Linked DNA regions of Macaca mulatta. The protein of the gene in region 2 purifies or fractionates together with the protein of the main gene of each other region. This does not show direct contact. Links are inferred from orthologs where the notes say so. Each region holds a gene or a part of one and is shown on either strand. Other genes may lie near its edges.

Region 1 (4,281 bases), on a different chromosome or scaffold from region 2:
CACCATGTTGGCCAGGTTGGTCTCAAACTCCTGAGTGCTCAGGTGATCCACCCGCCTTGGCCTCCCAAAGTGCTGGGATTACAGGCATGAGCCACTGCACCCGCTCTGACTCTAGATTTATATTTCACAATATATACAAAAATTCACTCTACATAGATCATAGACCTAAATGTAAAACCTAAAACTCTCAAATGTCTGGAAGAAAATATAAGAGAAAACTTTGTGACCTTAGATTAGGCAAGATTTCTTGGATACTAAAAGTACAGTCCATAGAAGAACAAACTGATACATGTGACCTGAAAACTTAAAACTATTACTCTTCAAATGGCACAATTAAGAGAATCAAAAGACAAGTTGAAGACTAGGGAGAAAGTATTTGTAAGGCGAATATCTGATACAGGACTTGTATCCAGAATACTTAATAAACTCAAATACTCAATAGTAAGAAAATAACCAACACAACAAAAATGAGCAAAATATTTAAATAGACACTTCGTCTAAAAAGATACATAGAATGGCAAGTAAATATGAAGATGCTTCACATCAGAGGGAAATGCAAACTAAAACCACAGCGACACTCCACCACACACCCACTAGCGCAGCTAAAATTATAGGCTGAGGACACCACATGCTGGTGGCGGACTGGAACTGGAACTCCCATACACTGCTGGGAGAGGCACAAAAGGGGCAGCCACTGTGAAAAACAAGAAATTTCATAAAAAGGTAAACATATATTTTCCATATGACCCTTGAGAACTTACTTCTAGATAAAGAAGTAAGCAGAACTTACCTGAGAGGAATAAGAATGTATGTCCAAACAAAGGGTCATTCACAGATGTTCACAGCAGCTTTATTTAAAACAACCCAAGGCCGGTGCAGGGGCTCACGCCTGTAATCGCAACACTTTGAGAGGCCAAGGCAGGCGGATCACCTGAGGTCAGGAGTTTGAGACCAGCCTGACCAACATGGTGAAAATACAAAAATTAGCCAGGTGTGGTGGCGGGTGCCTGTAATCTCAGCTACTTGGGAGGCTGAGGCAGGGGAATCGCTTCAATCTGCGAGGTTGCAGTGAGCCAAGATCGCGCCACTGCACTCCAGCCTGGGGTGACAAGAGTGAAACTCTATCTCAAAGAAACAAATAAAAAACCCCAAACATGGACACTCAAATGTCCATTAACTGATGAATGGAGAAAATAACTGTGGTATACCCATTCTATGAGGTAATAAACAAGTTACAATCACATTGCGTGCACATGAATCTCAAAAGCACTGTCCTAAGTGAATGAAGCCAGACACTACAAAATAGATGACTGCATTTAGATAACGTTCTGGAAATGACAAAATATAGCGACAGAAAGCAAATGGGGGACTGCCAAGGGTTAGGAGTCAGGGGAGAGGGCTGATTGCAAAAGTGGTCATGGCAATTTCGGGGGTGGTAAAAATATTCTACCTTTCTACCAAGAAGAGTCTATCTTGACCATGGTGCCGGTTACATAACGGTATATATACATCTGTTAAAACTTCTTGGAGTGCATATTATATGTAGACTGTATCTCAAAGCTGACAAGAAAACATAACTCACTTACACTTCAGACAAAGAATGGATGTGTATGTACACCAAACTGTCAACAGTTTTCTTTGGGTGGTAGGAGTATAGGTGATTGAAGTCTTCTTTTATATATTTTTTATAATTTTTACAATGCAGTCACTTGCATATCCAGAAAAGAATTTTTTTAATTCAAGTATTTTCACAGAAATAAGTGTATGACACATCGTGACCCAAAATGTAGATATCAGACTACTTAATGAACGTTGTTTTACAAAAAGACGACGCCAGAAAAAAACATCCGCATGTAAATAAAATATCCAAGTACGGTAAAATGCACTTTTAGCCATTTTTTGTTACTTTATAAATGGAACACCATCACTTTGAATTAAACGCTACAAAATCTGAATATCTTAAAGGCAACCACTGATCACAAAACAGAGAAGAAAAGCACTGTTTTTGAATTTTGAAGTTTTTCAAAATCTGAATATCTTAAAGGGAACCATTAATCACAAAACACAACAGAGAAAAAACCCTATTACTGTGGCAAGTGACACAGTACTAACAGTTTTATTTATAACGAGAGAAATAATTTGCTGTATACTTGCAAAATATGAGTCACGTGGCTCCTAGAAACACACCTCCTTCTCTTCGGTAATGGGATAACTTTAAGAATCGTTCTAAGCAGCTTAAGCCTGAAAACAAAAATTCCACCACGGCAATAAACAAAACCACTTGTTGCCTCTGGGGCTCCCGGCCCTGCAGTGGAGGCAAACGCCCTGCCTTTCCGCTCCCCGGCGAGAGCCTGCGAGGCACCCGGAGCGGCCGCCCGGCCGCGTCTGCGTCACGCGGGGCAGGAGCGGCGCCCCCAGCCTCGGCCGCCGCCTCACCTGGTAGAGCTCCTCGAGGTTGTACCTGATGGAGGTGCTGCTCTGCACGGCCCGCACCGCCTCGTGCAGCTTCCGCCACGTGTCTTGCGTGTAGTTGTCGGGCAGCCGGGGTCTGTCTGCAGGGCGGAGAGAGAGCGGGCGGCTCAGGGCGCGCCGCGAAGCGCCCCGCGTCGCCACCCCCGACCCGGCCGGCGCCCCAGCGCCCGCGCTCAAGAGGCCCGTACGGATCTCGGGCCTTCCCCCCAGGGCGGGCGGGGTCTCGTGGGGCCCGCTGGGGTCGCCCGGCCCTCGACCCGGCCGCCGCACCCACCTCGGAAGTTCTTGATGACCAGCTTCTTGGAGCCGCCCGCGCCCCCCGGCTTGGCGGGCGCGGCGGCCAGGGCCGCGGGCTTGGTGAGGCCGTTGGTGCGGCCCACGAGCGCCGAGAAGCTGCCCTTCCGCGGGGCCTCGTCCGCCATGGCTGGGCCGGAACCGCCGCGCCCCGCCCCGAGCGCCGCCGCCCGCCCAGCTCCGCTCCGCCCGCCCCGGTCCGCGCGGCCTCCGCCCAGTCCTCCTCGCGCGCCCCGCCCCGCCCCGCCCGCGTGCCCGAGTCCAACCGCCGCCGCGCCCGGCTACTGCTGAGCCCTTAGGGGCGCGCGCTGGGAACCCCTCCTGAGGGATCGGACCCCCCCTAAGAGCTTCGGACACCCATTCCTGGCTCGAGGGCGCGCGCCGGGACCCCCACCCCCGCCCCCGAGGGATCGGGACAGCCCCGGTTCCGGGGGGCGCACCGGGACACCCCCGGGGCTCTGGGTACCCCCTCCTGGCTCGGGGGTGCGTGCCGGGGGCCCCCTCCTGAGGGGCTCGGGAGCCGGGACCCCCTCCTGAGGGCCCCAGGGAGCGCTCCTCCTGAGGGTTCGGCACCCGCACCCGGGGCGTGAGACCACCTCGAGGGCTTGGGGGTGCGCGCCGGGACGTGCCCCAACTTCTGAAGTCTCGGGAGCGCGCGGCGGAGGCACCTTATGAGAGCTCGGGAGCGCGCGCCATGTCCCTCCCCTCCACCCTCGCTCGGGCGCGCGCGTCCCGAGTCCCTGGCCCAGCCCGGCGCGGAGCGTGATCCGCGGCCTCGTTTTCACAAGGGGCAGTCGAGGGGACAGCGCAGTGAAAGGCACTTTAGCAGTGGGGCTGTTCTCGCCACTGGACCCCAAACCCCTCAGCCCGGGCGGGCCCGAACACACAATCAGAGTCGCTGGCGTCCCGGCTGAGAGGACGGGGGCCCGACAGAAAGACCCCGGGACCCCTTAGCCCGAGCGTGTCGCCGAGCCGGTCCCTGGATTCTCCCTCCGGAACCACCCTGCGCACAGGAGACGGGGTCGGGGGCTCCGGGACCCAGACGGACCGAGGGCAGGAAGTGACGCCAGCTGTCCCGCTTGGGGTGTAGGGGGTGGCGCTCTGTGCTCGGCGGCGCTGCCATGGCACACATTACCATCAACCAGTACCTGCAGCAGGTGGGTCCTAGCCGGGGAGCGCGCGGCGGTGTGGCTGGCCCTCGGCGTGTTCCGTGTGTCCCCTCCTGCCTTGGACCCTCAGGCGTCTTCCTTTCGCGCCTCGCCCCCTGTCCTCTGTCCGGGTCCCCGGCGGGCAGCGGCGCGAGCCGACTGAAAGGCCGAACAGCGGCGGCCGGGGCTCCCCTGCAGGGCCGCCGTGGGGGCCGGGCGGTGTCCGTGGATCGCGGAGTTGTCGCGGTGTAAGTAGACGCGGGGGCTCCAGGTCACTGCCCTCATTGCTGGCGTGTGTGGCCGCGCCCCCAGGGGGCCCGAAGGGCCTGCGAGCCGCGCCAAGGGCCCGGTGTGGGCGGTGCTGTGT
Region 2 (4,113 bases):
AACCCTGTAGGAGTTCCCAACCTTAAAACTTTAAGAAAACTTAATGCGCAGAGTAAACAATGTCATGTGATCAAATTTAATTTAATTCTTACCAGCTACAGTGTACTCAAATTTTTAAAAATTAATATATGGATTCAGAAAATGTAGACAATCTCATGTTATTTATTCTGAGGGAATGAATTATCTGGTTAGGAATTAATCTACACACTACTTCTTCTCTTTTCCTTTTCTGAGACTGTGTGTGTGCATGGCCAAGTGTTAGGAATTAATCTGCACACTACTTCTCTTTTCCTTTTCTGAGACTGTGTGTGTGCAGCCAAGTGTCAGTATCGACAGAACAAAACTATAGTTTGTCTTATTTTACTTCTAAAGAAGAAACATATTTCTGAAATTTTCAGGTTAACTGAAGAACTTGATCTTCAGAAAAAATTGTTAAAGATGAAAAAAAGTAAAAAGGTAACTGTTTTCAGAATGTCAGATTTGAGTAGATGCATCTAATAAGGGTATTAATTTTTTCAACAAAATTCAGAAAATCTAGAGGTCAACTATAAGGGAACAAGGGAAAAGAGGCATAAATAAGTTGCGTATGCACTCATGTAAGAATAAGGGGTAACAAAAGAGGCATAAAGAAACCAAGAGGAAAGGAATGAGAGAAGGAATGTATGGAAGAAAGAAAGGAAAGCAGAGAGGAAGGAATGGAAGAGATGGTTTTCAGCATATATTGTGGAAATTAGAAGACAAAAAGCAAATCTATTAATCTATTGACAATTCTAAATTAGTCAAACTGAATTTTAAAGTCCAGTGTACTTAGGTGGCATCTAGCTGGACTGGGGTATGAGGCCTTCAGGATGGCATGCACTGCACTCGGTCTTGGCCCTCCTCCTCGGATGTCTCTGAGGTGCTGGAAGACTCATCCGATTCTTCATCTGGAAATTCGGCTTCACCACTTCTCCAGCCCCGGTGATGACCTCTCTGTGTCAGGTGACGCATGAGGAACCAAAGCATGTACTGGTCAAACAGGCTGGCATGGTGCAAGCTATCTTCATCTCGTTCCCACTTGTTCTTCTTAATCACCTTCTTTAATCCAGTAAGCTCAGTGGCAGCTTTAGCTGTGGGTGTCCAGATCTTCACATTATGATCTAGGCCACTGGTCGCCAGCACAGGTAGGTAAGGGTGGGGTTCAAGACAGTTTATTGTACCTTCTCTGTTCCCCTTTAGGAACTGGATGATCTGGCAGGATGATTTCTCCCAGAAGAAGATATGCCCGCAATCACTACCGCTCACTACAAACTCACTCCTGGGGCCATAGAAATTAACACCTTTGACTGTGGTATTATTTCTGTGCCCCTTAAATCTCTTAGTGTATTGAGCACCATCACTGTGAGAGGAGTCGAAGAGGTAAATATCTTCATCATTGTAGCTGGCCAGAAGCTCTGTGCCATCGTAACTGTACACAACACAGGTGATGTTTGTTGGGAAAACACAATTAACCAGATGATGAGGAGTGAATTTCTTGAGCACTCCATTGTTTTCTTTCTCATCAATTCTCCTCTGGTCATAAATTCTTACAAACTGATCTTGTCCGCCCACTGCAAATTGGTAGGTATTGGCGGGATTCACAGTAATTGTATATAGTCCCACTTTCTTATCCTTTTCTCTTGTTACCACAACTTTTGAAGCTGGCCGGTCTTGTCTGAGGTCAATGGTGAAGACAACAGCATCTTCACCTGAAGTGAGGAACTTAGAAGGAGAGTCAGGCACCAGAGCCAACTTGTGGGCAGGTCCCCTGTGCTGGGCCACACACTTAGTATTCTCGAAATATGATGCATTAATTAGTTCTGCTACCCGTACCTGCCCATCACGGGCACACATGGCCAGGGTGGAATCACCACAATTAGGAAGGAATTTGGCCTGGAAGACATTATTTGTGTGACCACTTTCAAAGTTGAGTACTGGCCTCTGCCGTACCCAGTCCCACACTATCACCTTTAGATCATCACCGCTACTGGCCAGCCGGGTGCCACGCTGGTTAAAGTGTACAGTATTGACACAACCGACATGGTCTGCAAGACGATATTGCAGGCGGAAACGCTGCACAAAGGCTCTTGCCCCACAGGCCTCATATACAAAGCGGGGACGTGAACCCAGCTGCCGCTGGTGAAGAGCAGTAACGACCTGCCAGCGAGGTAGGGGCAGGGCAGATGTCTCTGAGGAAACCCACTCCTCCAGCGCCCGATCCTCCTCTAACAAGTACTGCTCATGGTTGGCACCACTGCATTGTGGACCCGCCCGAGGCTGTTCTTCTTCCTCCTCCTCCTCCTCCGCCTCCTCCCCTCCCTCCGCCTCTTCCCTTCCCTCCTCCTGTATCTCCTCTTCTTCCTCCTCCCTTTCTGTCTCCTCCTCTCCCACCAAAGGGTAATGGAATAAACTTTCACCACTCATGAGGAAATGCTCAAAGTCCTCCATGCTGTCAAGTTCGATGTCTTCACTTGCACTTTCTCGGTCTGAGCTTCGATTTTCTGTGCCGACATCATTGGGGAATCCACCATCCCTGGTATCACTGTCATCTCCGGTCATTGTCACACTCTGCTCTGAGGTCGCTATGTCAATGTCTGAGGAGTCCTCTGTCGCCGCCACTGCTCCAGACTGCTCCTCTGGGCTGCTGAACAGGCTTTCAGTCCCTAAGTCTGGTAAGCCATCTGTGCTTCCCTCTTGGTGGGACATCTCGAACGATCTTTGCTGTAGTTGATCTGGAACTGCAAAGGCCAGGCCCCTAAAAGCTCTGGGAAGAAAGTTGGCCTGCGGTTAGGACTGATGGTCGTGAAGGAAGTAAGCGCGTGGCAATCAAACGCCAATCTGATTGGCTAAAGGGGACAATAAACTATTCTGCCAAGGCAGTTGCCAGTATGGGATCCCATGAGGTTCAGAAAGCTTCTTACCTGCTCGCCTCCTCGCAGCATCCAGATTGCTCTAGGTTTTCCAGGCCCAGAGCCCCACCCCGACAGGCATCTTACACTGTGAGTAGCTGCGGGTTTTTGAAGATGAAACTTGCTGCACCTTGGAAAATGTTCTTATTAGAGAACCATGAGCAAAAGTGATCCTCTTTAAGCAAAATAGTTTTTAGAAGCCTCTCAGTGTTTTGCTTGAAGGTAATGTACTCTATAAAATGAAGATGTAGGCAAGAACAGTGAAAAGTTAGCTAAGTGTCCCACAGCTAGTGACTTTTTGACATACAAGAAATATCTTAAATCGAGCAGCTTGAGGGAAACCTTGAGTGCTCTAACTGGTAGAATCGATATAGGGTTGCCAGATAAAATATGGTATGCATAGTTAATTGCATTTCAGATGAAGGATGAATACTTTTTTTAGTATGAGTAGGTCTCAAATATTACATTAGATATATTGCCACTAAAATTTTATTTATTATTTATCTGAAATTCAAATTTAACATGGTGTCCTCTATTTTTATTTGTTACATCTGGCAGGCTCCTTTAGTGAAAAGAATTTAGACCCTCAGTGTAATGAGGGCTGAAATCAACTGATCAATTGAAAGTGGACATTGAAATGAGTAATGGCTTCACCTATTTGAGATAGAAGTAGTACTTCCTTTTTTTCTTATGCCACTAGAGTTCTTATATATTTATTTAGAGTTAATTCAATTTAAGATACTTAGGGAACACCAACACAATTTTATGGAAAAAGAAATTATGTGATGTCATAGAACTATAAAATCTCTTACATATCACCCACAATATGTCAGAGGTTTCTGTGGGGCCTCTAAGGAACAGAAAACAGCTCTACAGAGACAATTAATTGGCATTACTGTGTTAATTTAATAGTTTCTGTGAATGAATTATCTAAGGTGATGTCAGCATATTTTCAAAGGGCTACAGTAAACTGCTAACTAAGAATGCCAGAATGAGGAAAACAAAGTTTCCCTCAGAGTAACTGCAAGATAAATGCAAAATTGATTAAAAGTAGAAGTACACAGTCTTCTAAAGAAAGCGGATGGTTCCAAGGCCAATAGTAACAGAAAGATATGTAAAAGAGTATTCATAGCAACTTGTAAAGCCTAGCACAGCAAACTGAAAACCACTGAAAAGCCCATCAGGA

Evidence for each region.
Region 1: the proteins of DCAF8L2 (region 2) and CUL4A purify together in Homo sapiens (affinity purification with western blotting; 3 studies listed by BioGRID and IntAct, with this or other methods). This does not show direct contact. The link is inferred for Macaca mulatta from reciprocal best matches to the Homo sapiens genes DCAF8L2 and CUL4A.

What each region holds. Positions count from the first base shown.
Region 1 is NC_133422.1:107,452,769-107,457,049, reverse strand, and holds the start of CUL4A (cullin-4A), read right to left. Parts: upstream 2,910-4,281; 5' UTR 2,895-2,909; coding exon 2,747-2,894; intron 2,553-2,746; coding exon 2,437-2,552; intron 1-2,436. Other genes in the region: PCID2 (PCI domain-containing protein 2), read left to right, coding at 3,888-3,923. UniProt on the Homo sapiens protein: Core component of multiple cullin-RING-based E3 ubiquitin-protein ligase complexes which mediate the ubiquitination of target proteins. As a scaffold protein may contribute to catalysis through positioning of the substrate and the ubiquitin-conjugating enzyme.
Region 2 is NC_133426.1:27,584,537-27,588,649, reverse strand, and holds DCAF8L2 (DDB1- and CUL4-associated factor 8-like protein 2), read right to left. Parts: upstream 2,784-4,113; 5' UTR 2,725-2,783; coding exon 844-2,724; 3' UTR 726-843; downstream 1-725.